Drosophila melanogaster: one gene and its partners. The main gene of each other region encodes a partner of the protein of the gene in region 4 in a complex. Each region holds a gene or a part of one and is shown on either strand. Other genes may lie near its edges. The genes, in order: MED8, MED18, MED23 and MED20.

Evidence for each region.
Region 1: MED20 (region 4) and MED8 share a complex: the UniProt entries of both Drosophila melanogaster proteins name them as parts of the mediator complex.
Region 2: MED20 (region 4) and MED18 share a complex: the UniProt entries of both Drosophila melanogaster proteins name them as parts of the mediator complex.
Region 3: MED20 (region 4) and MED23 share a complex: the UniProt entries of both Drosophila melanogaster proteins name them as parts of the mediator complex.

What each region holds. Positions count from the first base shown.
Region 1 is NT_033778.4:20,323,269-20,329,743, forward strand, and holds MED8 (mediator complex subunit 8), read right to left. Parts: upstream 3,539-6,475; 5' UTR 3,455-3,538; coding exon 2,696-3,454; 3' UTR 2,576-2,695; downstream 1-2,575. Other genes in the region: tapas, read left to right, coding at 1-956, 1,025-1,143, 1,580-1,853, 1,911-2,062, 2,121-2,269, 2,328-2,545; CG8929 (uncharacterized protein), read left to right, coding at 4,791-4,866, 5,059-5,753, 5,838-5,929, 5,996-6,362, 6,441-6,475. UniProt on the Drosophila melanogaster protein: Component of the Mediator complex, a coactivator involved in the regulated transcription of nearly all RNA polymerase II-dependent genes.
Region 2 is NC_004354.4:1,861,656-1,868,500, reverse strand, and holds MED18 (mediator complex subunit 18), read right to left. Parts: upstream 2,593-6,845; 5' UTR 2,488-2,592; coding exon 2,363-2,487; intron 2,316-2,362; coding exon of another isoform or gene 2,293-2,315; coding exon 2,006-2,292; intron 1,939-2,005; coding exon 1,697-1,938; 3' UTR 1,614-1,696; downstream 1-1,613. Other genes in the region: Pex5 (peroxin 5), read left to right, coding at 1-1,493; Gcna (germ cell nuclear acidic peptidase), read left to right, coding at 2,765-4,331, 4,394-4,732, 4,796-5,474, 5,541-5,798, 5,858-6,173. UniProt on the Drosophila melanogaster protein: Component of the Mediator complex, a coactivator involved in the regulated transcription of nearly all RNA polymerase II-dependent genes.
Region 3 is NT_033778.4:22,884,991-22,896,221, reverse strand, and holds MED23 (mediator complex subunit 23), read right to left. Parts: upstream 7,295-11,231; 5' UTR 7,209-7,294; coding exon 7,170-7,208; intron 7,108-7,169; coding exon 7,014-7,107; intron 6,960-7,013; coding exon 5,995-6,959; intron 5,937-5,994; coding exon 5,850-5,936; intron 5,795-5,849; coding exon 5,592-5,794; intron 5,540-5,591; coding exon 5,163-5,539; intron 5,103-5,162; coding exon 4,928-5,102; intron 4,872-4,927; coding exon 4,383-4,871; intron 4,325-4,382; coding exon 3,998-4,324; intron 3,939-3,997; coding exon 3,715-3,938; intron 3,657-3,714; coding exon 3,574-3,656; intron 3,518-3,573; coding exon 3,370-3,517; intron 3,301-3,369; coding exon 2,643-3,300; intron 2,582-2,642; coding exon 2,441-2,581; intron 2,383-2,440; coding exon 2,073-2,382; 3' UTR 1,797-2,072; downstream 1-1,796. Other genes in the region: CG3700 (uncharacterized protein), read right to left, coding at 547-1,162, 1,226-1,439, 1,505-1,757; Gmer (GDP-4-keto-6-deoxy-D-mannose 3,5-epimerase/4-reductase), read left to right, coding at 7,463-7,587, 7,642-7,756, 7,815-8,372, 8,429-8,596; asrij, read right to left, coding at 8,689-8,915, 8,974-9,463, 9,520-9,579; YME1L (YME1 like ATPase), read left to right, coding at 10,280-10,306, 10,411-10,808, 10,866-10,925, 10,979-11,168, 11,222-11,231. UniProt on the Drosophila melanogaster protein: Component of the Mediator complex, a coactivator involved in the regulated transcription of nearly all RNA polymerase II-dependent genes.
Region 4 is NT_033779.5:8,067,820-8,074,556, reverse strand, and holds MED20 (mediator complex subunit 20), read left to right. Parts: upstream 1-1,708; 5' UTR 1,709-1,795; coding exon 1,796-2,554; coding exon of another isoform or gene 2,555-2,602; 3' UTR 2,603-2,745; downstream 2,746-6,737. Other genes in the region: Trf (TBP-related factor), read right to left, coding at 841-1,360, 1,432-1,586; poe (purity of essence), read left to right, coding at 2,991-3,109, 3,291-3,385, 3,509-3,921, 4,177-6,343, 6,405-6,737. UniProt on the Drosophila melanogaster protein: Component of the Mediator complex, a coactivator involved in the regulated transcription of nearly all RNA polymerase II-dependent genes.

The DNA of each region.
Region 1 (6,475 bases), on a different chromosome or scaffold from region 4:
GACAAAAGGTCTCTAAACCTTACGCTCAGGAAGTCTATTTAGTGGAGATGCCCGATGGCTGGAATCGTGTTCGTGCAATTTCTGTGGATGAGGAGACCCGCTCGGGCCGTTATCACTTTATCGACTTTGGCGATGTGGCAATGTTTCATTCAGAAGATCTCTTCCACTGTCCACCGCAGTTCTTGGCGCTCCCGGCCCAGGCCGTGTGCCTCAGCATGTATGCGTTGGATAAGTTCGAGGATCATCCGCACGCTCTGCAGGTTTTAACAAAGGAGCTGGACGGCCAGACGGTTGTGGCCCATGTGCTCACCACGGAGAAGCAGTTCCTGGAACTGGGTGGATCTGCCCAGGGTGTGGTGGAGAACGGTAAGCGTCGGGCGTGCTTGGTGGCCACGCTGTACGACACCTCAACGGCTGAGGACATTCATCTGAACGATCTGGTTGCGAAAAGAATAACGAAGTGCACGCCGGCACCATCGCTGAGTGATGAAAAGAAGATCGGCAAGACCACGCCCATTCTTGTGTCTCACATCAACGATGATGGTGATCTAATGGTGCTGCTACGCAATGATGACCTTAAGTTTGTGGAGCGCAGTATTGCGCAAACTGTGGCTGATTTGGGCGAGCAGGACCGAGTGAGCTATTCGGATCTGCTCCACGACCGCCATATATTCGTGTGCGACGAGACTGTCGATGGCGTCAAGCAGTGGTTCCGCGGGCGACTGGTCACCAGACCACTGAATCCGGACGAAGAGTCCTTCGATGTCTACTACGTGGACGATGGACGGCAGCGTAAGGCGCACATCTCTAATATCTACCGCCTGGAGGCAAACAACAGAGCTCTGGCTACGTTCCCGCCACAGGCGATACCCGTTCGCCTGCACGACGTTCCAGAGATCGGAGGTCATATGCTTCATCGCCTGCGTGGTCTGATACCTTGGCGCACCGAAGCTCTCGTAAGTGTTTTATATGAAAGGGATGTTTTGAAAGCTTGTCGAATCCGTAACACCATTTTCTCCCGCAGCTGAAGGTTGTGGCCATGGATGGTGGTAAGCCTCTGGTAAACGTATTCATCCGCGAGGATCCGGAGTCCATGTATATGTGCGTGAACATTGGCCTTCGCCTGGAGCTCGAGATGGCTAGGTAAGTGCCTTTATTGAAGCTTTTGTACAATGTCTATTCATTCTATATCATTATGGTCAATGTCATCTAATCACATCGTCATCAAGCTCCCTAAACAACGACATCTGAATTGTGACTGGTGCCCTATAAGTTTATATTAACAATATAATTGATCCTTTGCTTAATGCTATCTCTATAAGTGCTTCAATAAACCGGAACTGACTTGATATGTTATTGCTAACACAAATTCGATCTACGTTTTGTAAGCTTACCCTAAAATCATGCACATCTTTGTATATAATCTGAAAAATATACTCTTAAGCTGCCACACATATGTACTTTACTACCCAATAAGCCCGAAAGCAATCAGATTTTTTAAACCTTGAAACCAACAATTGCCTCCCAATCCCCCAATCTGGCTTGTTCCCGCCCCACCCTTGATTCCCCACCCACACAGCTCCATTCATCCGGAGAAGTATGATCATACGCTCCTGAGCTCCAATGTCCAGCTGCCCAGACGCGGTAGCTTCAGCTCCGTGTTCTCGAATCAGAGCAGCAGCAGCGACCTTGTCGCTACCACTCCCCCGGTGACGCCAGAGAAGAAACCATCCGCAAGATCGACCGGCAGCACCTTTTCGTCTCTCATGCTCAAGGATTACGAGGCTATTCCGGCAGTGGGTGCCTATTTCGAGGTGCGCGTTGCCCTCTCCGTCAATCCCGGTCACTTTGCGGTAAGTCAATCATCAGCAAATTAATGACTCCGATTATGATGTGCGATTCTTCCGCAGGTGCAACCGTACAAATACTATAACCAGCTGCAGACTTTGATGAAGAATTTACAAGAGCATTGCCAAAAGACGGCAGCCAAGGGAGTGCAGCCTTCACAACTGGCCATTGGAGAGGCCTACGCTGCCCCTGACTCCGAAGGCGTATATCATCGGTAAGAACTTATTCAGGTCTTGCAATAAAAACGCAGACTAAATCTGTTAATCTTGCAGCGTAAGTATTCACAAGATTTACGATGAGATTATACACGTGCGTTTCGTCGACGTGGGCGACGATGGAGTAATTGCCTGTGATCAACTGAAAACTCTAAATCCGGAGTTAAGAAAGCTGCCCAAGATGGCATTGCCAGCACAACTTTATGGCAAGTTCAAGAGAACTTCAGCAGTTTGGCGTTAGAACTAAAAACGATCTTCTTTCAGGCATACAACTGACTGATGTAGTATGGAGCAAGGAGAACTGCGTCCGATTCCGGGAACTGTCGCTGGGTCAGAAGTTTATTGGCATTGTGCGGCGAATGACTAAACAAAAGGATGGCGGACGAGCGCTGTGCCTGGAGCTGGTGGACACCTCCACGCCGAAAGATATTAAGCTGCACGAGATTCTCATCAATGAGAAGCACGCACAGCCAGCAACATAAGAAGTCTGAGTCGGAGGAGACGATCCATTTAAATTTGTTCATGTTTATGTTTGCGTAATCCTAGTTTTAGAATTAGGAATATACATATAACTTATTACGACGAAACATTCCGCCAGATGGAACCGATAATAGCTAATAAACTGATGTTTTTTATCGAGAGAACGGATGCACTTGATTTGCGGACTTGATGTTTGTTTTCACAGCCGATGGCGCCTTTCCCAGCTGCTGCTGCACGTTGCCGGGACTCATAGCGGGTCCACCCATTGGCGAGGGTGCTCGAATTGAAGGCGGTACCATCATGCCAGGTCCGGGTCCATAGTTGGTCAGCTTGAGTCCTTTTCCCATACCCACGGCGGCCACCAGGAGCTGTGTGTCGGCCATGCTACTCGTCTGCTGGATGCCGGTGCGCGAAGAGCTCTCGATTTCCCACTCCTCGCGCGCTTTGCTGACCATATCCAGGACGTGGGAGACGACCTTGTTGTATTGAGTGACCTGTTTCATGGCAGCGTCGTTGGTGAGGTTCGCCGCCTTCTGTTCGTTCTGCAGCATTTTCTGTTCCGTAATCGGATCCGGCCGAGTTCTCAAATAGTCTGGAACAATGTCGTGTGAAAAGACTGGCACCCGACCCTCTGTGATGTTGATGAGGGTGTCATCCCGGTCCATGGAGACCAGAAGGGGCAGGACCGTTCGATTTCTTAGCGGCGGACACTGCTCCTTTGCCAAGATTTTCGTCAATCCCGTCAAGTGACTTGAGATAATGGCAAAGTTGTCCAGGAAAGTCGGCCAGTTGATGGTCTCGTACTCTAGCTCAAGTTTTTGGATCATCGAGAGAACCGCCAGCTTCAGGTCGTTCAGACGCTGAAGGACCGTATCCAGCGTCAGCTCAAAAAGCTTTTCGTCGCGCTGCATTTTGGAAACTCCCAATTAAACTATTATTTTTAACTTCAGTCGGATGGACACAAAGTGGAAAGTGTGACCGTGGATCTGCTTATTATCATTTGTTAGTCGGGTGTAATAAAATACTGCAACACCGTACTATCGATAACGTTTGCGATAGCAGCAAACTGGCGTCCACACTACATTCAGATCCTAAAATTAAAATCATATGGTCAATTAAGGAAACTGAACAATAAAAAATGAATTAATGCTCACCAATAACTAATAATTGATCGTTATTATTTGTTTCTGTTTTAATTTAAATAGAACTAATAACTTTTATTTTTGCAATAATTAGCAGAATCGTTAATGCATACTTAAAATAATGTCAAAACAATATGATATGATTTAAATAGTCTAATATATAAAACATTCCCAAAACGAATAGTGTTTTCAACTACGAGCGCCTCTTGAAATAACACAATATTTATTATTAAAATATATAAACTGACTCGAGTTCATCAGACTCTGAACAGTCCTTAGACTATTGAAGCCAAGCCATCGATTGTGCCCCGGCATATCGATACTACCAACATGGCCGTCGAGAAAAATTGAAGTGAACGCAACGCCGTGTTTTTCATTTGCCAATAAAACGTTAACAGCTCACGAAATATCGTAAAGCGTGCCCGCAAACGTCGCCAAATGTAAGCAAATTATTTTAGTGCCTGTTTTACATCGTTTACATAATTGCCAGAGCTGAAATTCGAAATTTAGTTGCTGCCGTCGGGAGTATCGCCAACTTTTGCCTCACACTCTCTCTCTGTCTCGCTCTGCATTCCTCTCGTGCTGACAAGGCAAATATATTGGTGCTGGTGTGAGTGTATGTGTGAAAAATGGAAGAAATTCAAAATGCATATGTGAAAAGATATACGCGCAAGCCGATTAAAAATCGGCTCTCTCGCACGATTTTGATTGGGACCACAGGTCCCCGACCCCCGCGGCGTGATATGGGTTAAATGACAGCCGGAGCGCGTCCGCGATTCTCTCTGCGTTTTCAGGTCTCTCCGCTCTATTCCCATTCTGTATAACTCCGCTCCTGATATTGTTGTTGCTTTGTGTTAGCCATTTCTAATGCTCTCTTTACATGTTTCTATATTCAATTGTAATATATTTGCAGCTTGTTGTGTATGTTTTTGAAATGGTAAAGTGTGTTGTCGCGTTCGCCAAACCGAATCCGAAACAGTAAACCAAACCCTAACCGATTGGGGGTAATAAACATTGAAACCCGAGTACATACATACATATATCTGTCGCGCGATATATATACATATACATAGTTGCCAAAGCGATAGAAATCCGAAATCTCGCGATGGCGTCGCGCAGGCGCGCCGAACTGAATCCAAAACTGCACATGGACAGGCAGCCGACAGCTGCCCGCATAACAGGTACCTGAACTGAAACTTCTACCAACTACCAGCAAGCAACTGCATAGAAGTGGGAAAACCCAATTACCTCGCCGGGATTAGCGATGTCTAAGGGCCCATAAACCCATCAGCCCGTCTTAGGGGCTTCCCGGAACAAAGCACCGCCCACCACCCTGCCAATCGAAGCTTACCTTTTACCTCTCAACCTTGCAGATCCCTCATTACCCGCTGGAAAGCGACGCGAGATCGACAACGTGATGAAGAAGGCGCGCGCCAACACCACCAACGATTATTGGGACAAGAAGCTGATCGAGGCAGAGGAGAAGGATCCAAACCGATGGCGCCACACGGGCTACAAGAAGATGTACATCCAGGGGGAGAGCAGCTCTGGAGAGAGCGAACGCGACGGTCGCGAAGGTCGTGAGGGTGGAGCACCGCCCTACGGTCGTTATCCGCCCACAGGTGGACCGCCGCCAGGTCCACCGCCTCCGTCGCAGCGTTACGGACGCTCTCGTTCGCCGCACTCACGCAGTCGGTCGCGTTTGCGCAAATCGCCACCGCTTTCACCACCTCCGCGTCGTCGTTCACCGCCCATGGCTATGCACAGTGGCATGGATCGCCGTGGTGGACCTCGCTCGCCGCCAATGCCACGATCGCCCAACAATAGCCACGATGCCCTCATGCGTCGACCCGGAAACGGCCACGGCGGAAGGCCCCGATCACCGCCGGAACCCAGTGGTGGCTCGTCGTCCTCGTCGTTGCGACGCAAGCCAAACGCGTCGCGTTCTCCGCTCGGACGTCGCCGGTCTCCACCGCTTCCTCCGCCCTCGTCGTCGGCAATGGAGAAGCGAGGTCCAGTCGCCCATATCCTGCCGCGCTCCAAGCGACCGCCATCGCCACCACCGAGGGTGAGTTTTCAACCAGATAGTGATACATATTATTCTGTCAGTGAGAACCATACCATTTATACATATATCCGTGTCCCTTTGCAGCACTCGATGCGTTCGCGATCAAACAGCTCTATGAGCACCAGCTCCGATGATTCCTGCTCCCTCTGCTCACCCAGTCATCGTCACAGATCTCGGTAAGTATTGATATATGAAATGTGTTTTCTTTGTTCCTATTAAACTTTTTTTTTTCCATCTTAAAGATCCCGCGGTCCGCGCTCGCCGCCACCCAAGCCACGTGGCCATTATCGTTCGGGGGCGCCTCCGCCCCCTCCGTCGGAATCACATGGCCGTATCCATGGTCGCCCCACCACTCCACCGCCCGTGCGCGGAGGTGGAGGCAGTTCGGTTTCCGCCATGGAGAAGTATCGCCAGGCGAAGATGCGTCACATCGGGCATGAACGTGTCGCCTCGTCGGACACCCACATGAAGATCGCGCGGTCCTCGCGCCATTCGCCTCCGCCGGAAGATCCGCGTCTTAAGCACCGCCCGCCAGAGCCACCAGAGCCGGCGTCAGCGCCAGCTGCAGCACCTACAACACAGGCAAAAAAGAAGAAGAAGGAAAAGGAGGTAAGCATTGTCCGAAGCTAAGAGTCAAAATAAATTTGAAACCAAATATAACAATCCATATATATTATTTTCCATCAGGTGAGGCCACGCATTAAAATTGAAGGTGAGAAACG
Region 2 (6,845 bases), on a different chromosome or scaffold from region 4:
AGTCATTTCAGATGGACACTCTGCTCCAGGAGATGCGGGACATAAATATTCACGGAAATCCGCAGCAGCAGATGCACTCTCAGCAGGCGGAGCAGTGGGGACAGGACTTTGCCCGCGGACTGGCACCCGCCCTGCCCAACAAGATGATCCACATGCAGGCACAGCAGCAGGACCTGCAGCATGCCCAGGAGTTCTTCGACGAGCCCCTGATCAGTAGCCAGAACTTTCGGTCCCTGCCGCCATTGCGTCAGCCTTTGATGCCCATTGCGGCAGGACAGCAACAGGACCCCTTCTTTGACTCCGCCATGGAAACTATAATCACAGATCATCTGCCACAGGCGCCACAGGGGGAATCGCTGGACGACTGGATCAGCGACTACCAGCGCAGCACCGAACAAAAAGAGCAAACCGCCGCCAACTTCAACGAAAAGTTCTGGGAGCGGCTGCAAGACGAGTGGCAGAAGCTGGCCGACGAGAACGAGCATCCGTGGCTGTCGGAGTACAACGACAATATGGACGCTTATAAGGAGTACGAGTTCGCCGAGGGCAACCCCATGTCTGATGTGGAGAACCCGTTTGAAAAGGGTAAGGAGTACCTGTCCAAAGGGGATATACCCAGCGCAGTTCTATGTTTCGAGGTGGCGGCCAAAAAGCAACCGGAGCGCGCTGAGGTCTGGCAGTTGCTGGGCACTTCGCAGACAGAGAACGAAATGGATCCCCAGGCCATTGCGGCACTTAAGCGGGCTTACGACTTGCAACCGGACAACCAACAGGTCCTGATGGCCCTGGCCGCGTGCTACACCAACGAGGGCCTGCAGAACAACGCCGTGCGCATGCTGTGCAACTGGCTGACAGTGCATCCCAAGTATCAGCACCTGGTCGCAGCCCATCCGGAGCTGCAGGCCGAGGGCACTTCGTTGGCTTCGTCGCTGATTGGTCCGAGTAAGCTGCGCGATCTGCAGCAGATCTACTTGGAAGCCGTTCGACAGCACCCTTCGGAGGTGGATGCCGAAGTCCAGGATGCCCTCGGCGTGCTCTACAATCTATCTGGGGAGTTCGACAAGGCGGTGGACTGCTACCAGTCCGCTCTGCAGGTGGATCCCCAAAATGCGAAGACATGGAACCGATTGGGGGCCAGTTTGGCCAACGGCTCGCGCTCCGTGGAGGCGGTGGAGGCTTATCAGCAGGCGCTGCAGCTCCAACCGGGCTTCATCCGTGTGCGTTACAACGTGGGCGTATGTTGCATGAACCTTAAGGCCTACAAGGAAGCTGTGGAGCACTTACTCACAGCGCTTACCATGCAGGCTCACACTAACGCCGCCCGAGAGCTGCCCAATGCGGCGATGGCGGCTACCTTTAGAGGACAGAACCAGATGTCCGAGTCTATTTGGAGTACGCTGAAGATGGTCATTTCGCTGATGGGCCGCAGCGATCTCCAGAGTTATGTGAGCGATCGCAATCTGGCGGCTCTTAATGAGGCCTTTAAGGATTAACCGCCCCGCAGCTTCTTTATCACTGCTTTGGGAAAGTCCGTTGTTGTCGTGTCATGTGGGTGTGTAAGGTTGAATTTGAGATATTTTTTACTCTGGCAGTGTAATCATTCCCTCTCGGTTCTTTTCTGTAAATTTGTATATTTTCTTACATTTAAGAAATTAAATAACTGTTGGATAAATGCGATGTGCACTTTTATTGTAAACTACGGCATGCCGCCCAGTCGCTTGTAGTCGATCTTCTCGAGCTGCACGAGTGGCTTTAGTTGCTCGGCAAACACGCGCATTTCCTCGCCGACATTCTCCTGCCCCGTTGGCGCCACCACAGAGAGTTCCACTATGTAGCTTTGTGAGATTGGCTCGTTGGCCATGTCCTGCTGCTTGCCGGGCACAATCTTAATGAGCTTGGAGACGGTAATCTTCATGCGCCCCTTGCGGAACATATAGCCTGAAATAAGTCCATTTGTCACTATCCATTTTGGCAACCCAAGCGTAATATATTTCATGATTCCAACCCTTTGCTATGTACTCGAACTCCAGGCGGAAGCCCATTTCCGTGAGGAATTCCAAAATGCCATTGGTGCAGGCGCAGTCCATGCAGCTGCGTACCAATGTAGGCCGGCGCAGATCCACCTCGGGGTTTCCTAGGTAGCGCATCTGAAAGGGTGCATCGCGACCAAGGGCTCGGCGCACGCGAAGAAGCAGCGGCTGGTTGGCATTGGGCTGGCGAAGGCTCATACACACTTCCAGATCGTGAAACGGCTCCGGCGAGGTGTCCACATTGTCGCAGAGTCCCTTTAGTCTGATAGTGGGTAGGCGGTTAGACTGTTAGTCGGGTGCAAACGATTCAAATCTGACACTGGGTCTCCCACCTGTGCATCAAGTGTTCCACGGCGGAATCCAGGATAGATCCCTGCAGCAAGTACTCCAGGTTGGGCAAGAAGCGGTTGTTCATCGCATGGGAGAGCGACTCACGGGCCGACGACACAATCGCCATTGGCTAATTTTGTAAGTTTGGGTGTACTATGGTATTAAATTAACTGAGCAGTAGTTTGGTTTTGTTTTTAGTTTCATTTCCTTGGAAGAATTCGTTTTACTAGTGATGCCGTTTTAGACATTTTCGAACAGCACTAGCTAGATGCCGGAAAATCAAATAGTCTATCGATAACGATGAACGTAAATCGACGCGCACAGAATAATAGCAAATACGAATTTTGCTTAAAGCATATTCATAGAGATTGATTTACCGTAAATGCCCCAACGACGCCCCCAAAATGGCGGATCATAAGTATAGGCTCTTCAATGCGGTCGACCCGAGCAAAGTAAAAGTTCCCTTCAATCAAAAGTTCGCCAATTTGACGCTATCCTCCCACAAAAAACGACTCCAGGTGTCCCATGCGCCGAAGGATCATCCAGAAAAGAGGAACGACCAGAAAACAAGGAAACTGCCAGCAGCTCCCATGCGCGCCAATGTGGGAGCACCCGCTCCGTCCTGCGGGGCAAATACGGAGGACACAGAACTCGACAATTCCGACTACATGGAAGCCTTGCAGCTGAGCGCCGACGGCTGCAGCCAGGATGTGGCAAATGTGGGCGATGTAGAGCTCCTGTCCGCTGGCATCAGCAATTTGAAAGTGCAGCCCATAAATGAGGAGCACTCGGCCAAGCCGGAGATCTCCATTTGCATTTCCTCCACTACGGAAGAGAACGTATCCGGCGACGACGACGCCGCCTCCTGTATCACCATATCCGATTCTAGCGAGGATGAGCAAGAACCCTTGCCTCCCGATAGCATGGCTGTGAGTGAACGGGAAATTGTGGCTAATCCCGGCCAGGAAGACATACCACAGCCCATGCTCACAACCGAAAAAGTGCAGCGCATCGAGGCTTTTCTGCGCGATGTGTCCATAGAGCGACGCGAGATGGAGTGGAATGGCCCATTGACACCGCCCCCCCTCTCTTCCAGCCAGCGGCAATCCCGTCTAGCCGATGCGGACACCGAATCCATGTCGCCCACCGACGAGGACTGGCAGCCACCCACTACCAGGCCGATTTACAACAGCACACAACTGGCGAACAACGATACGCAGGTGAATACCATCTGCTCAGCAGATGCCACTCGATTGGATAGCAGCAAGCGGTTGGCAGACGACGAAACGGAGGCGAATACTCTCGGATCGGAGGAGCTTGAGCCCACATACAGCAGCAAGCGTTTAGCAGACAATGACACCGAGCCCAACACCCTGTGTTCTGATAGTTCTGAGACCCATAACTCGACGATTCACAACAATGAGCCCGTTCCTGATGAATCCATTGAAATACCGGAAACCAGCAGCGAGGGCGAGCTCACGCCGCAAAAGGCCAGCTCTGGTTCCTCCACATCGGGAGGGGACGAACACGGTTCTATCCAGGTCAGCAGTATTAATATTTCAGCGAAGATCAACATTAAAATCAGCATTCCCACTATGGAGTCAAGTTCGGCGGAAGACGACGATGAGCATTACTCTTCGCCCAGGGCCACTAAGTCCCTGCCCAGCTCGGAGGAGGTGCAGCACCAAGAGCACCAGCAGCAGGACCCTCAGAGCCACCAAAAATCCATGCTGTCTGTGGATGATGCATCCGAGGATGAGCAGTTTCTCACCCACGCAGAAAAGCTGCTCAATCAATTGTACGGCAAGTCTTGGCAGACACCAGATGTGATCCGCACTCTAAAGCGCTCCAGTGGTAGTGGCGGTAAACAGGCTCCTCTGAGGCCCAGGAATATTCAAGCAACAGCGGTAACCACCGCTAAAAAAAAGAAGCCCAAGCCAGATGAAAGTGTTCTCGGGGACTTCAGCATATGTAAGAATTTATCCATGCTTTTTATCCTCCAACCGTTGAGTCACACGCGCTTTAATCCCCAGTTACTAAACCTCTGCGCACAAATCAGACTCCTTTAAACTCGACTCGTCTGCCTCCGATGCGCGCTGTCCAAACGGAGAGACGTCCGCGGACTCAAAAGCCGTTGACACGCCCACGCACCAATCATATAGACGAGGATCGCTGGCGCAAGCTCATAGATTCCGACAGCGGGACAGACGCCTCCGACGACGAGGATGCAGATGCCACTTTTAGCGAAAGCGGTAGTGATAGCGACAGTGATAAGGACAAGGAGAACAAGCAAAAGAGAGGCGACCTTACCTATCTCGACTTGAGCAAAGACGAGGTGGAGGTGATCAGCAATCCCGACCAGGACTCGCCGTGTAAGAGTTGATATTAGTATTTTAAATGGCTGACTTAAATGTTTTAGTAACTCATTATTCTAGCGCCAAAATGTCACCGTCGCCTGGACGACATACTGCGATCATGTCGCGCCAGCGTTAAGGCTAAACTTCCTGCCACTCCTGTGCAGCAGCCAAACATTCGTCGCCAACTTTTTACCCCTAACGCAGGATTCGAGAACGATAACCAAGCTAAGGAGATAGTAAACAGGGCGTTGGACCTGGACATGCTGGATGAACTGGAGAGCGACTACCTACCCGGGACTCCAGTCCACAGGAGAGTGCAGGAGGTAAAGAAGAAGCTTGGCATTGGGCAGCAAGGTCAGACAACGCCCCACGAGAGCCCAATTCTCAAGTTGCTTACGCCAAAAACGGCTCCGCCTAAAGGCACTGCTCCGCCCAAAACATCTGCACCGCCAAAAGTTTCTACCCCCCCAAAATCCACTAAGCAGATTCCAAAACCTAGGAAGCAGAAGGATCTCTCACCCGTTGCGAGCGGCGGCAAGTGCGGCTTTCTGAAATCCCTGGAGGGACAAGTGAGCCGCGATAGGGCGGACAACGAGGCCTTCTTCTATCGGGAAAACTTCGCAAGAAATAAGGATCAGCTGGCCCAGCATCTTTACAAGATGTATAACGCCCAGGTGTTCAACAACGAGCTGGATGTGCCCATCACCTGGTCCAAATTGCTGCGCAACACTGCCGGCCGGTGCATGAACAAGCGCAAGTGGGTGATTCTTATAGAGACAACCAGATATCCTCCTTGAATTCGATAAATATATATTGTTTGCAGACTTAACCAGCGTAGCAGCGTGGTGGAACTGAGCGTCAAAGTGCTGACTACCGCGGACCGCCTGCGTTGCACCTTGATACACGAACTCTGCCATGCTGCGGCCTGGGTATTCAATGGCGAGGGTGGACACGGACGGGTGTGGAAGATGTGGGCACAAAGAGCCAACGACAAGTTCCCCGATCTCCCGCAGATCAAGGTCTGCCACAACTATAGCATTGAATTCAAGTATACCTACAAGTGCCTGAGCTGCGACAAAGCGTAAGTTCTCCCAAGTGATAAAAAGAATATTATTGTCATGCAGTTTTTACGCATCACAGGTCACATGCCCATTCCCGATCCCGCAAGGTGGAAGATTTGCGCTGCAGGATCTGCCGGGGACCCATCACCCTCTTCCTGAACAAAAAGGACAAGCAAGGAAACACCGTATCCACGCCGGCGGGCGAGGCGAAGGGATTTGCTAAGTTCGTTAAGGACAACTTCCAGAGACACAAGCGCGACAACATGACTGCCGCACAGGTGATGCGCATCCTGAGCGTGGAGTACGCCAAGCAGAAGGGTCAGCCGGCGGAGGAGACAGCGGCGTCGATCGCCAGCCGAGTGGAAACGCTGACACTGGACGAGTCGTCCAACTAGCTGGGTTCTCTTTTGAGTTTTGTTAAATTATGTGCTCCAAGCCCTAAACCATTTTTGGTATATCATAGACAATTTGAAAAACTTAACTGAGATCTCAGTTCGTGCGAAGTAGTAGAAGTAGTATATTTTGTTTAATGTATTATATATTTTCTTAACCAGAAACATGGTTTCCATTAAAATTAAACGGACATTTAAAAGCTAGTGCTGTAAAGCTCGATTTTGCATAGCCGGTGTCGGCCGGCGGTGTTGGTAAAGGCGATGCTTGGACTCATTACTTACAGTGAAAGAGTATGTCTGTTTATGTATGTTAATATATGCCTAATACAACCTATTAAATAATTGCTTTGCACAATCTTGAAATGTTAAATTCTACACTGGTGAAAAGTGAGTAGTGCGGTGTACTTGCTAAGGCTAGACACAACAATTTTCTAGATGGAGTAGCAAAAAAAAAAAAAAAAAATGGCAGGGTATCCACGGGCCTACCTCCTACCTTGGCCCAAGGCGTATTAACACTGTGTTTCCGCAGTGGCGCTGGTCACACTACCCGAACTCACACAAAGCCACGGTAAACATTTGTCGCAGAACCGAACACGTCAGCTACGGGGATTGATTGTTAAACAACGTTTCTATCGCCCCGCAAATCCGATCCGTAGCAGCAGTCCATCCTGCGCC
Region 3 (11,231 bases), on a different chromosome or scaffold from region 4:
TCAAGCGCACCACACGTCCGCACTCCAGTGCGTCTCGATCGAAACTGACGATTGGATCGGATGGGAGCGGATTGCAGGTGAGCCGAGCTCAGCGCTCTCACCTGAATGGTATTTTTTTTTGTTGATTTTGACTTTTTACATTTTGGATCATATTAAATTAAATAATGATTGAATCTGGTATTTTTATTGTTGATATGATCTTGTTTTGGATTTTATTATAAATAAATTATGCTACATTATTGGTCATTAGGCAAAATTATAAAATAGCCTTGCAATTGGAATATAGGCTTTGGCTTAGAAGAGCAATTTCGAAAATTTACCTAAAAAAAATTAAAGAAAAACAAGACTGCTTCAAATTTAAAATCATACATTTTGTTTACTCTGCTCTGCGATAATTTCTCTCCGGATCTGGCAACGCCGAGGTTTCAGGGCCCCAACGTCGCTGATATGCTTTGAAATCATAAACATTTCAAGGTAATTTGATTTATTTGAAATATTTTTATTTTTTAAACTATCCTTTTTTTGTTATATTACGACTCCTAACTGTCAATTGCCCCACACGATGCTCTCGATCCAGTCGGTGTAGAGGTGGACTTTGGTATAGACACTCGGGAGTCCTTGGGAGCCACAAACTAATCCATATGAGACAATCCCTATGACCTGCTTCAGGCACGGATAGAGCGGATGCTGGACGAATATAGGTCCGCCGGAGTCACCGTTGCAGGTGTCCGCTTGGCTGGACATTGAGCCGGCACAGAACTGGGTGCGTGTATCGATGCTGAAACGCAGGCGCTTCTGGCACACCTCGTCACTGAATCGCTGGAGGTTGACCTTCAGCAGGTGCGAGGACTTCACACCGTCCGCGGTAAATCCCCAGCCGGCGGCTGTGACCTGCTGAACATCGTTGCCGCTGTCTGGCGGAAGGCATACCGCTGCCACATGGTCGTTGAACTCAGCCTTCCGATCCAGTTCCACCAGGGCAATATCGTTTTTAAAGCCCTGCTCTTCGTCTTCAGTATCATATCCAGGGTGCACCACATAGTTGACCACCCGAAAGTCCTGAACCAGAGCATCATCGGTGGTGCTGTTGTAGTCCAGCTCCCCCAGGCGAACTACAAATTTGGGCGAATCAAAGTTTGGGTCCAGTCGCTCGGCCTTCGATCTGACAATTAAAAGTACACATATGGAAGGAGTATCACTCAAGAGAATCCCAGAGAATACTTACTCATCCGTCTCCAGGCAATGCGCCGCAGTCAGTACGAATTTGGGATGCACCACGGATCCACCACAATCCCAATTGATGTCCGACTTGGACTTGTTGGGCCGATGAGTGCCGATTAGGGCCATGAAGGGAAACTCTTTACCGGATGCCTTTGTGCCGCCCACGATGAAGGGCGTGGACTGGCAGGCGGATCTGACCTCGTTGTATTGCTTGCACTCTAAAAAAAAAAAACGAATATTCAAATTCCATCAATCGAAGGGAATTGTTGCAGTCACTCCTCACGCTTCTCAAAAGGCCTCGTCTGTTCGGCTGGCTTCAGATTCTGGTGATCCAGCGGTATGGGACAGCAGACAATGTCGTTGAACTCGTCGCAGTACTTGACTTCGGCTCCGATCAGGTGCTGGTTGTAGAATATCACTGGACAGTCGGAGGGCGTCAGCTCCTTGCACTCGCCCGTTCCATTGTCGCAGTACTCGGTCACCACGCTGACTGAAGCAATCAGCAACAGAATCTGGATTCCCGGAAGCGCATACATCGCAGTGCTCTGCGATCACAACTGAGAACGGCGCTCGAGGTGGACAAGATCACCAACTACAGGTTATCTACGAAGAGCTTTAAGCTGGGCTTATTAAGTCAAGCTTTTGATTGTAAAGCTGGAGGGAGGACTTGGGCCGACAGCTGTGACTTACAAAAAGTTCCCTTAGTATCTAACTTAAACATATCTGAGAACTGTTTACACATTCAATGGAAAATGAATAATGCAATAAGCGATAAAATATAAGATAATACTACTATAAATTAGGCTTATGTCGTTATGTCAGCTTGAACTGACTTGGGAGTCCCACAAAGTCTAATTGTGGCGCATGTTTTGCATGTGCTGATGCTGCTGCATGTGCTGCATATACATTTGTTGCTGCTGGTTGATTTGCTGCTGCTGCTGTAGGTTGCCACCGCTGCCCAAGGGAACGCTGGTTGTTTGTACTGCGTTGATTTGTTGCTGCTGCATCTGTTGTTGCTGCTGTTGCTGCTGCTGCTGCTGCTGTTGCTGTTGTTGTTGCTGCTGTTGTTGCTGATGTGGTTGCTGCGGCTGCTGCTGATGCTGTGTTTGCATTGGAGACTGCGTTTGGCTGGTTATTGCATTATTGCTGGTATTGTCGTTGCTGAAATTGGAAAAGTTATGTTTAAACCGAAGTAGAGTTTGAATTAAATGGCCCTTACATCTTTTCAGTGTGAATATCCTCCAAGTTAAGGTGGGTTATGAACCTCAGGCGCATTTGCAGCAGGGGCCGTAGCCGCTTAATGATGGCTTCCGATTCGTTCTTAATGATATTACCCACATGTATATACTTAATGTGATAGCTGAAATGATACAAACACATTTGTTTAGTACCCTTTCATGCGATTTTGTGGATTTGCTTACAGGAAATCGCAGATCTGGTCCATGTACTGCAGAGGCTTCGGACCATGATGCTTGTCCACGATCTCAAGAATTTCGTAAAGCAACACGGCTATGCCAGCCACAGCGTTCGGTTTTTCCAACTCTATTCGTTGCAGGAAGGGGCCAAAAACGTGGCACAAATACAGCAATTGTTGTTCGGTTCGCACGCACGGCTTTAGCTTCTCCTTGAGGTACCTGGTCATTGCCGCCAGCTTAAAGGCGCCCATGTGATGGAACACTGAGTGAGCTACTGCCAACACCACGGCGTAGGTCTTTTCTAGCATCGCCTCACGCACTGTCTTGAAGTTAAACAACTCGAAAGCATTGAATCTGTAGGTCCAGTTCAGCATATTGGGTGTGTTGAGCATATCCTGTAGGCGATCGTATATGCCGCTCCAGTAGGGCTCAGGCAAGGCAGCCAGAACAATGCCCACAGCATTAATGTAGCTGTGAATGTCCTTTTGCGGAATAACCGCATATCCGCTTACTATAACATCGATGAGATTGCTGGCCACCAGTGGCGGTGCCACCGGCAGACCCAGCAGCTCCACGCATGTCACATAGAGCGCATGGGTTGGCGCATTCGGGAACTCGTTAAAACGCCAATCGGTGGAGTAAAATACATTCTTCCCACTAATTGCTGCAAAATAAAAGGGGTTACGCATGAATATATGAACACATCATAGTATTTTCCCAAATCCTAGCTTACTGTCTGCAAGTCTCCTGATCAAACTCATATAGTAGCTCAATTCGGGGGTCCACAGCGAGTCTTGGCTTTGCAAATACACCTTGTACGGCTCACTAACACTCCAGTTGGGCGGCCGAATCTCGCTAAAGGCGCTGGTGATAGCGCCAACCTGGAACAACACAGTGTATTAGAAGAAGGGAATATAATATTCATAACAAATCTTACAAGTTTCTTCTTTAGCGCAGGGCGGTCTCGTAAGATTCGCTCATAATAATGGAGGGTGTTGTACAGATATGTTATAGGTCGATCTGCAATTTAAAGGGTAATTTAAAGTTATGAAATTCTCGAAAGCCACTTTTAACATACCGTGAAACTTGTAGAGTATGCTCAGATGATCCAAAATGAAGCCCAATATCTGGTGGACATTTGTAATGGTAAGTTCGATAAATCTGTGCACTACCACATCCAGAACGGGAAGGAATCGCAGACAGACATTGCTGAAGTACACGGGCAGCGGAATCTGTGAAGCTGACTCGTCCAACGCGAACTTCTCTGGATACTTTTGATGGAATGACAAGTGTTTGTCCTGCCTGAGAAATAATAACAACTATGCCTTTGTGCTCTTAACAAAATCAAGTGTCCAACTTACCAGTTGCTCTGCTTCCAGTGATCAGGATTATTGTCCTTGCAGAACTCCTGAACACGATTTCTCAGCTCGCTGGCTTTCAGCAAGAGCAGCTGAATTATGAGAAAGCAGACTTGAGCCTCGTTACCCTCGTGCGTTCGCAGAGCCAGGCAAAGCACAACCCTATCGATGGTCACAACGTTGAACTTCCAAATCATGTTGTTAATGGTGTCGACGCACTTGTGAATAAAGTCGCGGCCATCCGATGAGCTAGCTACCTCAGCCACCAAGTAGTCACAAAATTTACGCAGATGAGTGGACAAGGCTCTCGCGCTTATACCCTCCAAAATTCTAAAAAAAAAGGTATGGTCAGAAAAAATGATTGTGTTTAAATCATAATGTTACGCACTTGTAAGCCACTGGGCTTATGTTCTCCGTCTCCCAAATTATTTTGAACAGAAGGCAAAGGAATAAAGGATTCGTAGTTGGACGCAAGAAGTGCGCAATTATGTCATTCTCGTTGGTCATCGACGTCCAGGTTCGATATTCCTCTTCCACGGCCTTCTTCAACTGCTGCTTGTTCTCCGGAGGTTGGTTGTTCTGCGTAAAGTACTCGTTTAAGGCGGGCGGAAAGCAGGCTAGGGAATGCATGGGCCACGAGTGCGGCGTGTGCTGAATGATGTTGGAAAGGAAGTCCTTGCACCATCCCTGCATTTCATCGCCGCCACCATGTACGTGCATGGATCGAGCTAGCGTAAGAATAAGTACTCTGTTTAGCTCTTCGCTCTCATTAGACGCCACTGCTCCGGGAGATTTGTCGTTAAAGTAACGCGAAAACTGCGGCTGAAACTCGGCGGATCCAATGCTGGTGATCAGACGCAGTGCAGTAGATTCAAAACTATACAAAGGGAAGAACTTAGAAAGAAGTCTATACTCGATAAACGTATAACTAACCAGAGATTGAGCTGCATCTTGTTTGTCTGCGGCACGGAGGACAGAGAATGAAGGAGAGACAGCAATTGGACCCGGTAGTGAGTAGGAACATGGTGCAGCCGGTACGAAAACATCTCCATTAAGGTGTGCAGCATGGCCCACGCATGGTTCTTAAACACTGTTGGCATCAGTTGGCCTTTAGGAGGAAAAAAAACCATAAACATATTGTTTAATCACTTCAACAGGCTGTACTTACTCAGGAATCCCTTTATACCGAGCGACTCGATTTCTGTATAAACCAGAAGTCTGGCATAAGTTTCCAGTAGTGCAGCCGCTGGAACTTGACCCTTGCTTTGGGCCTGTTTTAACATCTGAGTTACGAAGCTGTGGATTAACGACATCTTACTGTGCACCGTCAAGCTGTCCAGAACCGTGACCGAAAAAGTTACGGCTGGGATTTGGCCACCGTTTGGAGATTTTGAAGTGCCATTTAGGGCATCCAGCAGTAGACCCATGGGACGCCCGAAGTACTCCTGATTCGTTGAGTATGCATTGCAGATGAGAATTATGCGGAAGTCGTTTCCTAGCGTCATGTTCATCATGGTGTTAGCCGTGACTAGGTGCTGCAGAAAGCTGGGAATTAAGCAGTTAGTATCTAAACACCAAAGGAAGTTAGAGGTATTACTCGTAGTGGTTTTTCAGTGCAATTGGCAATGGTCTGGTGATGTTCATGTTTTCCACTCGTGCCTTCTTCATCAGGTGAATCCAAACGCAAATGGGTGCCATATGGCGAACCATCGAGGATTTATTGATATCTGGCAGCTTAAGAGGCTCTAGCTCGGGATATAGTAGGTCAAACAATCTGAACACAGGCAGGAAATTGGTGATCTAAAATTAAAAGCGATTAAAAATAAGATCAATCAGGTGGAGAACAGGATCTTACAGGATTTTTCTGTATGCTTCCGGATATAAACTGCAACAGAATCCACATAAGTTGATCGCGACCCTTGCGAAGCTCCAACTTGGAAAGCTATAGGTGAAAAGTAGTTAATTACAAGAAATATTAATTTCATCCACCATGGACCTACCTTTTCGTGGAGCGCCAACACTATGTGCATAAAGCTTACGAACTGAAAGAGCACAAAGTAAATTAGTTGCGAAGAGAGATGCAGCCACATCCACTCGTAGGGCGTGATCTGCTCGTCTGAGGAGTTAAAGCCACTTCCCGCAGTGGCATCATTCGCCTCCGTCATCTCCATGGCCTGCACTATGAGATTAACCAACTGCTCTTCCAGGGCATTGTAGCGCTGCTTCTGATGCTTTTGCAGGTTCAGCATTTGAGAGACCATTTCCCTTGAGTACGGCTGCTCCAAAACGTAGCGGAGTAGGGGCTTCTGCTCTTCGAGCAGCTCTGGCTCGTAGGGCAGGCTACCCTTAAAGTTAAACTTCAGGGTATTGTGGTCCAGTCGCCAGGAGTTCATCATGTGATCGGCATAGCCGAAATGCTCTACGATGGGAAGCATGCTGGCATGTCCAATGATCGAAACCATTTGTGCCGTGGTGCGGAACTCTTCGACAAAGTCGGTCATCAGCCGGTTGAGTTTCCAGTGGTAAGGAAACGGACGCATAATCTCGTTGGCAATAAAGTAGGCGGGCAGCAGGCAATTGTTGCGATCAAAGATGAATCGCAGGATATCCTCAACGGCCAGTAGCTGTGGCATGTAGGTAACGTTGACGTTCAGCGGAAACCATTGTGCCTTGTCGCGGCATACCTTCATGATCTCGCGCACACCCTTGTAGTCCACCTGGACGATCACACGCTTGATCAGCCGGAAGCTCTCGATCCAGAAGGTCCTGTGCTCGAAGTCCAGTTTCTCGCACATCAGCACCTTGTCGCACAGCATCCTGGCGGTGATCACGTGTGCGTCCACCAGCTTCACCAGTGCCGCCATCAGCACTTTGATGTGATATCCGGAGGCACCGGCGGCACGCAACAGGTAGAGCCGAAGCACCTGCTCCCGGTTCTCCTGCGCCACGTTCCCAAAGGCGGTAACTGAAACAGATAGTTTTTAACAATTTTCGAGTTCCAGCAGACGCATTTACCTACCCAAATCATTGGCGAAGCGGGTAGCTCGTTCTTGCTCGGTGTTTGGCTTGAATACAATGACGCTAACGAACGCCTCGTCAAGGGAGTCGACCTTCTGCGAAATGGAGAGCGTGGATGAGTGGGTGATTTTTTGGAGACGCAGGGTTTCACTATTACCAGAAACTCGTTAACGGTGTCTATAACTTGCGTTTCCATATCCATTTAAATTATTTTTCGCATATCCGACACCGCATAAACAAAAACTACCTGGGCACAGTGTGACCAAATGGGGCTTAGTAAAGAATCTAAAAGTGGCTTTTTCTGATAACAAGAAATAGCTAAAGGATTAGATTAAAAACGCCAGGCAGGCAGCACTGACTGATTAGCCGGCATTTAAAGCAGCTGGTCGCATTGAGTCGAAAATTACTTTAGAAACTAATTGACTTGATTTGTGGAATCGCACAAAAATCATGAAGAAAGTTCTGGTTACAGGCGGAACTGGGCTGGTGGGCAAGGCCCTGGAGGCTGTGATCAAGGAGCAGTCCCCAGAGGACGAGCAATGGTTTTTTGCGGGCTCTAAAGATGCAGATTTGACGTAAGTCATGAAGAAATTCAATTGAACGTATCCGTAAACAAATTCTCTCCACAGAAATCTGGCCGCCACGCAGGCACTCTTCGCCCGAGAGAAGCCCACGCATGTCATCCATCTGGCTGCAATGGTCGGAGGCCTGTTCCACAACATGAACAACAACCTGGACTTCTTGGTGAGCTCCTGGTCTCACAGATGATTCCAAAACCCATTTCATGCGAATCCACTTTTAGCGCAACAACCTGCTCATTAACGACAATGTCCTGCAAACGGCACACGAGCAGGGATGCGTGAAGGTGGTGTCCTGCCTGTCCACATGCATTTTTCCGGACAAAACCAGCTACCCCATAGATGAGACCATGGTGCACAATGGGCCGCCGCACCCCTCCAATTATGGTTACTCCTACGCAAAGCGACTGATAGACGTGCAGAACCACGCCTACCACGATAAATATGGCCGGGTGTACACCTCGGTCATTCCGTGCAACATATTCGGTCCCCACGACAACTATAATCCAGAGGTCAGCCACGTTATTCCGGGCATGATCTATAGGATGCACCAGCTGGTTACGGAGAAGACTGACGTCCCCGAAAACGACAAGGTGTTCACCGTTTTCGGAAGCGGCATGCCACTACGGCAGTTTGTATACTCCCGGGACCTGGCGGAGCTGATGATCTGGGTGCTCAGGAACTACGAAAGTGTGGAGCCCATCATCCTAAGCGCGGACGAAGTGCAGGAGGTGACGATCTTCGAGGTGGCCCAAGCCGTTGCAAAAGCATTTAATTTTAATGTGGGTTAAAAAGCGAAATTTGAGACAAGGCAAGATATTAACTTGATTTATTCCAGGGAAGACTGGTCTGTGATACGAGCAAGTCGGATGGACAGTACAAAAAGACTGCGTCTAATGCCAAGCTTCGCTCCTTCCTGCCAGACTACGCATTTACGGACTTGGAAACGGCAATCAACGCCTCGGTTAAGTGGTACATAGAAAACTACGACCAGGCTAGAAAGTAATTGAATATTCCAACCCCAAAAAAAAATGTAAATAGACAACGAATTTTCACAGAACTTTATGCGCGTTTAATGTCCAACAAAATAACAATACCTTAATCAGTCCAGGAGTCGCCGTATTGGTTCTTCCTTCCAGCGGGTTCACTTTGTGCCTGCTCCACGGGTCGCTGTTGAACGGCAACTGGTGGTTCGTAAGGTCGCGAGTATGGACTCTGCTGGTGCTTCGAATACTCTTCTCGGTTCCTTCGTCGCAGGTCCTCGTAAGACTGGCCCGGCTTAGACGGCTCCAAGGGCAACTCTGCCTCCAGCATTGAACCAGCTGCTGGGAAGGAGAATGTACAGAATCATAATAGGGAATGCGAAGAATTAGATGAGCTTACAGTCCAGGGTGGGGCGGTAGATGTCGTCAAGGCCGGACAAAGTAGGGCGCGATTCCGTGTCCAGATTGAGAGAAGTGCTCCTCCCGGGCTGATACGCCTCATCGCTGTACACGTCCGCCGAGCTCGGCGAGAAGGGGGCCAGAGTGAAGGCCCTGCCCAGATTCTCGTCCGGTGTGATGGAGCTGATGACACCGCCGCCCTGTCTACGCTGACGCAGCAGCTCGCCCAGATGGGAGTTGGGTAGGCGCATGATCTTCTCGGCACACTTCTGCTGGTAACTGAACTTGCCCACAAAGTAGCCCAGAATGACGCCCATCACGACCTTGGGCACGGCGCCGTACTTGACGTGTCCCTGCAAATAGCCGTTCTTGACGCCGAAGTAGGCCAGCAGGCCCAGTCCAGTGCCGAAAGGCAGGCTGCGCTGGAAGAAAGACTCAGTGTTGCACTCACGTAACGCCTTCACCTCCTCCGCAGAAAACTGATAGTCCGCCTGAAATAGATGCAAACGTTTGGGTAGTGGCAGTTTAAGGACCGTAGAGCACTCACCAGGGGGTGGGGAGCGTGCGGCGGTGGATGGTGAGAGCCATCGTTCAGCGGGGAGTCCATGCTGATACAATTTAATGTGGAATTTGTGAAATGTATAACGGACCAACTACCGGCGCAGCCGATTTGCCAACCCTGGTCGCCGGCGAAACGGGCCAGTGACTTCTGCACATCTCCAGAACTAGTGATGGTCGATCTATGCACGATGGTTGCGATAGGGACTCTTTGTCTATCCTAAACTGGTTAAAAACCTTTTTCTTTAAGAAGTTAAAACTAAATAACAAAGACAACATTCATTTACAGTTGATACAATGGAATTTGTTGTCAATATAAGTAAAATTTGGAATAGACTTTCATTTGATCTTAGTAGTAAACAAATCACATTTTATAGAATGCAAAGTTTGCGCTGATTATCATTCATTTTATTTATACAAAATTTTATATATTTATGTAAGTTTAGCAACACTATCAGCAGCGTTGACTGTACGGAGAGGCAGTTTAGATATATAAACCAAATTAAAAATCGAATAAAATCAAAACCACCAGTCGACAAACGAATACACTTTTGAAAATTGCCAGTAATTGGAGAACGCGTGCTTTGATAAGAGGTGGAAAGTCGCGCACCACCAGAACCAGGGATGCAACGCGCACGACGCGACGAGATTATGACATTTTCGCTGTCAAGTAAAGTTACAGCTGTGTCGTCTGCTGGCCGCGATCCTGAGCCTGCCCTTGTAATTTATTGAAATTTGTAGTTTTGGCAATGTTTTCCACCACCACACACTCCGTGGTAAGTGCTGCCCGATGACAATACATTCATTCGCCCACCTGACTGCTCCATTTCTACCACCCAACACTTGGAATCGGGGAACTGCGTGTGATGTGATGTGACAGCCCTACCTGTACCTAGGCAACTTCAGCAGAAAGCCGCACTACTACTCCGTTAATCGAACCAAGCTGCACGGGAGCGCGGGAGCTGCCCGGTTGTCCAAGTCCACGTCCACGTCCAGCCGGAGTCATGACCTAGTGCTCGACCTGCGGAACCTGCTGAGCCGTTCGAGCGCCAGTATACAGGGCATGGTGGAGAGGGCGGCTCGACTGAATGGCATTCTCGACCGGCGGCTGGTCGATGATGTGCTGGCCAAGGTGACGAGCATGCTGCCCTCCATGCGCGATGTCCGAGTCACGTTGGAGGAGTCGGCCACACAGATCGGTCGTGTCCAGCTGCAAAATTATCAGTTCGAAGTTTCGCTAACCGGTGCAGCAGGTTCCGTGCCCACAGGCGCCAATGTGTACGTATTGCAAATTATCCTTTCGAGGCTCCGCTTAATCCTGGTTTATGTTTTCAGCAAGGTGATTCCAACTATTACACCAGGTCTTCTTCGTCCGCTCTTCTCACAACAACAGCTGTAATTATACGGAAAGTATCTACGAACTATATCTCAAATTTAGCTCTTTATAGAAATCAGATACGTGGCTTTAAGACGGATCGTTCCATTGAGGCGGAACAAAAGCGCAATCCCACAATGACCTCCCGACTAAAGAATGCTCTGGCCAACTCGCCCCAGCGTCTGGATGGGGACACACCCCTTCAGGCTGAAAAACTGAGACGGCTGCTGGCCAAATCCGAAGAGCATGGATTTAATAAAGCCGTAGGACGACAGGGTCTCTCAATTGTTAACCGTACTAATGTTTTGTATTCCAGGAGAGCCTGA
Region 4 (6,737 bases):
CAATGTGTCTTTCACAAAATGCCTTTAATAGATTTTAGAAATCATTAGCGAATGTATCTTGACAAAAGTTTGCAAGCATATCGAATGGAAATTTATCTAATTTGTATTATCTAACTCTTGAATACATTTTTAAACGAAATGAAGTGAAAATCGTTGAAGAAACCGTCCAATTAATTTATGCAAATAATGAATCTGCATAGTTTGTAAGTTTTATACGTATATACGCCTTCATATGAACCACAATTAGTTTATAAATTCCCAACACAAATCTCACATAGCCATGTACATGAAGCTACTAAGCGAGAAACAAGGAAATTTTTGTACACAACTTAAGAATGTCGCTCCTTTCCGTACCATAAGAATCGAATCGAATCTCTATGAAGTGTCTTGTGTTTTCTTTTGTAATAAACGAAACCTGAAAATAAATAAAAGTAATGTTTATCCAAATGTGTTTTCTTTTCATGGAATGTGTTGGTACACTTCAGAATTTGTGGATTTGAATATTTTTCCCAAATTCCAGGAATGGGTACAAAAATGTATAAAAATTCAAATTACTTACAAATTTATTATTAATTCAAAGAATAGAATGAAATGGATTACAAGACATTAATATATAAAAATTTATTTAAAATAACAACAGTTTTTTTTAAATAAAAATTAATTTGCTTAGTAAGGCCAAAATAAAATCTTACAATTTCTATGAATTTACCCATGGAAATTATTAATTAAGTTGTTTCATTTCACATTTTATACTAAAAAAGTTAAGGTAAATATATTAAAAATATTGTAGTTATGGAATATAACTAAGCTAAACAAAAACATTTGGATGTGTAGAAACAACTACGTCTTGCGAAAACTTAGTAAAATAGGTGATATCGCCTCCAGGCAGTCCATAATGTCCTTGCGCGACTTGGCGCCCGTAAATACAACCTTTCCGTTGACGAAGATCAGGAGAACGATGCGCGGCTTGACCATGCGATAGATTAGGCCTGGAAACATCTCCGGTTCGTAGGAACTAAACTGCCCGTGCACGTGGTTGAGGTTCTCCAGGCGGATGGGGAAGCGCAGATCAACGGTGGCCACAATATTCTGCAGCTTGTATTCCATGAACTTTACGGGGAATCCCAGCTTCTGCAGGATGCGTGCGAACTTTCGCGATCCAATGTCCGCCTCAATCTCGTTTCGTGCACCCGTGCAGATGACCTTGCCCGTTCGAAAGATTAGCGCTGTGCACCTGGGCGAGTGCATTCGCATGATGACGCCACGAAAGCGCTTGGGCGAGTACTCCGAGTTCCTCGTACGCGAGTTGATTGCCTTGAGGTCCAGTTCACAGTTCACCGAGAAGGTGGCCACGATATTCCTGCAAGTTATGGATGTATCAATGGGTTTCTATTTATTTCATGAAGTGCCTCTGAAAAGTGGTCAACCAACTGCAATCGTATCTCATGTTGTGCATCCTTGGGCTCCACCAGGGCAACGGGCTGTTGCGGCTGCAGGGCTGCGTGCGGATTGGCGGCAGCATTGCTGGTCGCAGCCACATTATCCCTGTCCCTTTCAGCGTCCGCGACTTTAAAGTGAAACTGCATTGCCGAAAATTATAAACAAATCCGCACGCGACGTGGCCAGTGTTGTCCTATTTTATTGCTGACGAAAATTGTATGCCGGTTTGGTATTTTTATTTGTCTAACTTTTCTCATGACTAAAAAGTCAGCACTGGTCACACTGGACGCTTTTAGCTTGCAAGACTTGTAAACAAAATTAATAAAACTAAAAAGCTGACATTATTGCATAAACTATGGGAGTAACTATCCTTCAACCGTATCCCTTACCCGAAGGCAAATCGGGTGCCCACATAATCGATCAGCTGAGCAAGCGTCTGCTCGCCCTGGGCGCCACACATGCCGGTCAATTTCTGGTGGACTGCGAAACGTTCATCTCGACGCCACAGCCGCACAATGGAGCACCTGGACGCGCAGTCCACGTCCTGCACAACTCCGAGTATCCCGCCTCCACGTTCTCGATCATCGACAATGGCACCGGCAAACAAGTGGCCATTGTCGCCGACAATATCTTCGATCTGCTCATGCTCAAGATGACCAACACCTTCACCTCCAAAAAGCAGACCAAAATCGAGTCCCGTGGCGCTCGTTTCGAGTATGGTGACTTTGTTATCAAACTCGGTTCCGTCACCATGATGGAGCACTTCAAGGGCATCCTCATCGAAATCGAGTACAAGTCATGCGTGATTCTGGCCTACTGCTGGGAAATGATACGCGAAATGCTGCAGGGATTCCTCGGCATTGCTGTGAATAAGGACTTTCCCTCCTATTTCGCTCCACAGACAATAATGACGGCAATGGGGCAACAGCAGCTGCATGCCAAGCACAACGACATCTTTGAGCCAATGGACACCGTGAAACAATACCTGGAGCAGTTCACCAACTATAGGAAGCATGTGACTCTTATGGGCGGTATGGGCAGTGGACCGGGTAGCCAACAGGTTGGTCCGAACGTGCATATGTCGCCGGCGGTGGCGGGACTACATCGATCCTGATCCGCCGACGTCAAGCTGGAGCCACCGGATGAGCCTGCAGCCGATTAAGATGTTTAGAAGATAATTTAAACAAAAAAAATATACATATGTCACTAATATTTAATAATTAAATAATCATTATTTTAAAGCTAGCATCACTAGTTTGCTTTACATATTTTAGACGAATAAACAAAACATTTATTAGCTTGTCCAAATACGTTTAAAATATTATAGTTATATATATATATATATATATATTTTGTGCAGTGTACAGTTTTTTTCATATATTGGTTATTCACTACTTTTTTATGTATTTTTAAAACAGCTGATTGGAATAATGATTAAAGCTGTGTGGTATCCCTGCTCGCACGGCATTTTACCGTTAATGAAATCTGGCCACACAGTAGGCCGAGTACTCAGTACTATCGGGCAAATTGACGAGATTATTTAAACAATAATGTCGGCCCACAGCGGCGGAACGGATTGGAATTCCGTTGTTAAAGCCCTGATACTTAACCGTACAGGAGCCTTAAACAAGAACGAAGTTGTTAATTTGCTCAAAGCTATCACGCGATGGTAAGTACAAACGATCATCTAGAACTTTTCGCCTACCGAATGGCGTAGTGAAAAATTTTCTGCTAGTGCAAAAAGTGACTTGCAAAATTAAATATGGCCGCTCCGGTGACGAAATAGCAAAAAGCTTTGAAAATTCTTTAATATCGAGAACTAACAACGCTCTATTCCGATATTTGCATAGCGAACATGACTTTTTCGAGGAGGAAAGCAATTTCACGCAGTTTTACACGGCCTTTGCGGCCCTGGCGGCGGACAAACTTATGCAAATCAAGACAAGTAAGTGCACCCTAATGATTTTTCGCCAAATGAAAACAAAACAAAGAAATGTTTGGCCAAGAATCGAGTGATTCACTTGCGCCAATTCGCGTTCGCTACATTTATCATCTTGGTGCTTTTCAGTTTGCCAGACGCAGATTTGTCAGTTGCACGATGCCACCGCCGTGCTTATCCGGTTTATTATCTATAGACTGCCCAGGGTGTCCGTCTACGAGACCAAGTGGCTCCTGGGCGCCCTCAAGATGCTCTGCGAGGGCCGGGAGTGCCCAGCATCAGCGTCGTCATCCATGTTCGACTACAATGCGGTGGCTAATGTTCTTAAAAGCTGCAAACATCCCGAGTCGACCACCAAGAGCATTATGCCCAGCAGCAGTTCCTCCGGAAGTGGGGCCAGCAACGACAAGGAGTCGCCCAAGTCGGAGATTAAGCGATCCCGGTCGGACCTGTCCTCGGTTATTCTGCAGCAACTGATTGCTCCTTTAGAGCCCGGCAAGATGACTTGGGTTCCACTCAGCGAGGAGGTCACCGACTGCACTGTGAGCAAATAACTTAAACTCCTGTTTTAATAGCTTCCCTAAGATCGGTCATATTTGTCTGTTATTATTATAAATTACTCTTGAATTGAGTAGGTACGGATATATTACACAACTAAACTAAAATGCAATATTCTATCTAATGAAAATATTTATCCTACTCGATCAATTTAGAAGTTGTGTATAACTATTAGCTATGAGCAAATTTATATTTTCTTAAAAACGAGATACGCAATATTAAAAGCTTACTTCTTTCAGGAACAAATCCTGGCGGCCAATGTGGAGTACTTCCAGGAGCAAAACGGAGTGGATACCCTGCTGGATGTGTGTGTGAGCCTGCCCATACTCAATCGATACCGATCCAAATATATGGAGACCATCAACGGCGGTAAATCGCTTTATTTGCCACTGACCCAAGTGGAGGCCACTGCAGTGAAATCGAGCATGAATCACATGCTTACTGATCTGACTATTTTGAGTCAGGCCCAAGCCCTGATCGAGATGCAGCCACTGACTCCCAGTAGAATTGAACGACTATCAATGTGTGGTATTGCTGCGCTATACAATGCTGTGTTGACCTCAATAGCCACCAGTGTTCTCGGTATGAGCCAGGCCAGCAGCTCTCAGAAACAGACTGCATCCACTAGTCAAGGAAGCGGAGTAGGAGGTTCTAGTGGTGGGCAATCCAACAAAGACCATGACGACTTTGAGGATCAGGCCTGTAGCATAGTGAACAAAGCTTTAGAGATCTACTCCAATATTGGTCACATGTTCAAAACTTCGGCCAGGATTCATGTATATCAGAACCATCTCTGCTATGGCAGCTGGCTGCTAATTAGCGGTATACAAGGAGCAATGGGCGCCTCTGGAAGCGGTGGATCTAGCTCGGATTCGGCATCGAAGTCGGCGTCAAAAGCGACCAAGTCTGGTAGTGAGGCTGGAACCGCACCTACTACACCTATTGCCAGAGTCAACCTTTTCAAGGTACAGCAAGGATTTGGAGAACTCAATGCAGCTATTGCTAACCACAGCATTAAATTGCTCTCAGAGCTAATAGAAGATCTAAAGGTTGAAGCCGCATGCGGACAGAGTCTCGAATCCACAGAGCTCCCGGAGCCTGCACAGTTCGATATTTTGCAGAACTACAGTTCGCTGGAGCGGATTGTCCGCGTGCTGAATACAGCCACTCTGCATCAACTTTTCACTTTTCTAGCCACTGTGGCTTATCGCAAGGCATGCACCTTAAAGCGCGCTTCCGCCAAGGATCGTACGGAATGCGAACCCATAAGCTACTCAGATTCTACGACTTATTTCAACGATTCTCTCTCCTGTTCGGACAACTCCGAGGAGGACGATAGTGAGAGTTACCTGGGCCACTGGTTTAAGGAAACTCTTTCTCCAGAAACCCATGATGATAATGCAAACACATCCACACAAGAGCGTGCTGAACAGAAGAGCGCCCTTGTCCCCAAGCTAGATGAGCCACATGAGTATTTAGACTTGGCCGCAGACATATTCTGTTTCCTGGATCAATTTTTGGCCAATCGACATGCCTACATGCAGCGCTATGTAAAGGCAGGCGTTAGTGATCAGCAAATGCTGTTAATGGCAAATATAATCAAAGATTTTGACCGCGACGTGATGCGAAATGAGAGCGATCAGGGGTCGGGAAATGCCCCAGCTGCCAGTGCAGGAGCAGGAACCTCTGCAGGAGCTTCTACCAAGTGGCAGACGTCGATGATTCGATTTTCGGGAGCTGCAGGCCGATATATTCACAATTTGATTTCCACTTCATTGCTGTCCGAGCAATTGCAGTCAAATCTGCTGCAGCACTTGTCTATATCGCCATGGTCTACTGATACAAACACCTGGCCTTTACAAGTTTATCCGAGTACTCTGTCTGTACTGGTGCAAATTCTTTTGCTGAAGCCAACACAAGAGAAGGAAGCCGCCTGCCTGTCCGTGTGGCACCGCCTTATTAACACGTTGGTGGAAGGAGTTTGTTCTTCGAATACCGCCAGTGATTCTGACTATGAAGACCTTAACATTGAGCACGCCCAACTGCTGCTTTTCCTATTTCATTCGCTCAATCTGATGCAAAAGAAATCCATTCTGCTTTTAACGGCTGGCGGTGTTATCCGTTGCGCAGAAGTTTGTCGTGGAATCAGCGAGGATAGACCCGTAAAAAACAGCCAAATTATGCTGCTGTCTCGCTTGCTGCTCTTTTTGGAGTATCTTATGAAGCACTTGTACAATGCGCCTCCGGAATTGCTAGACCAGGTGCGCTGGAATCTTTTTAGTGTGAGCAGCATGCCGGACACCCAAAAGATCACGGATCTGCTAAACTGCCGAACCAAACTGAATTCCTATTGCCGCCATGATATTGAAGAGAATTTCCGCAAGTCGGCCGGCGAATATGGCTCATGTAAGTGGAGAATTTAATCTCCAATTCCAGCGATACTCAACCATCTTGATTTTTTTTTTAGCAATTCGCCCAACTTTTTACTCTCTGGTAATGGGTGATCCCGAGATATCCTACTGGGCTCAGGAATTTAAGCTGGATGGTTTGGCTTGGAACTTTATTCTCTGCACACCGGATAAGCTTAAATATCCGCTACTGGTGGATGCATTGACTGACATACTATCCATCACCGACATGTCAATGTATTCCAAGGAAAAGGACAAGGAAGCGAGCATGCATAATCTTTGCGCTATACAGTATTGCTTTACGATTGCCTGGAAGCTGAATTTGGGTTTGCCGCCCTCTACTTCTCACGTAGAGTCGCTGAAGGCAGAGCGATCACCCAATCTGCACTCAC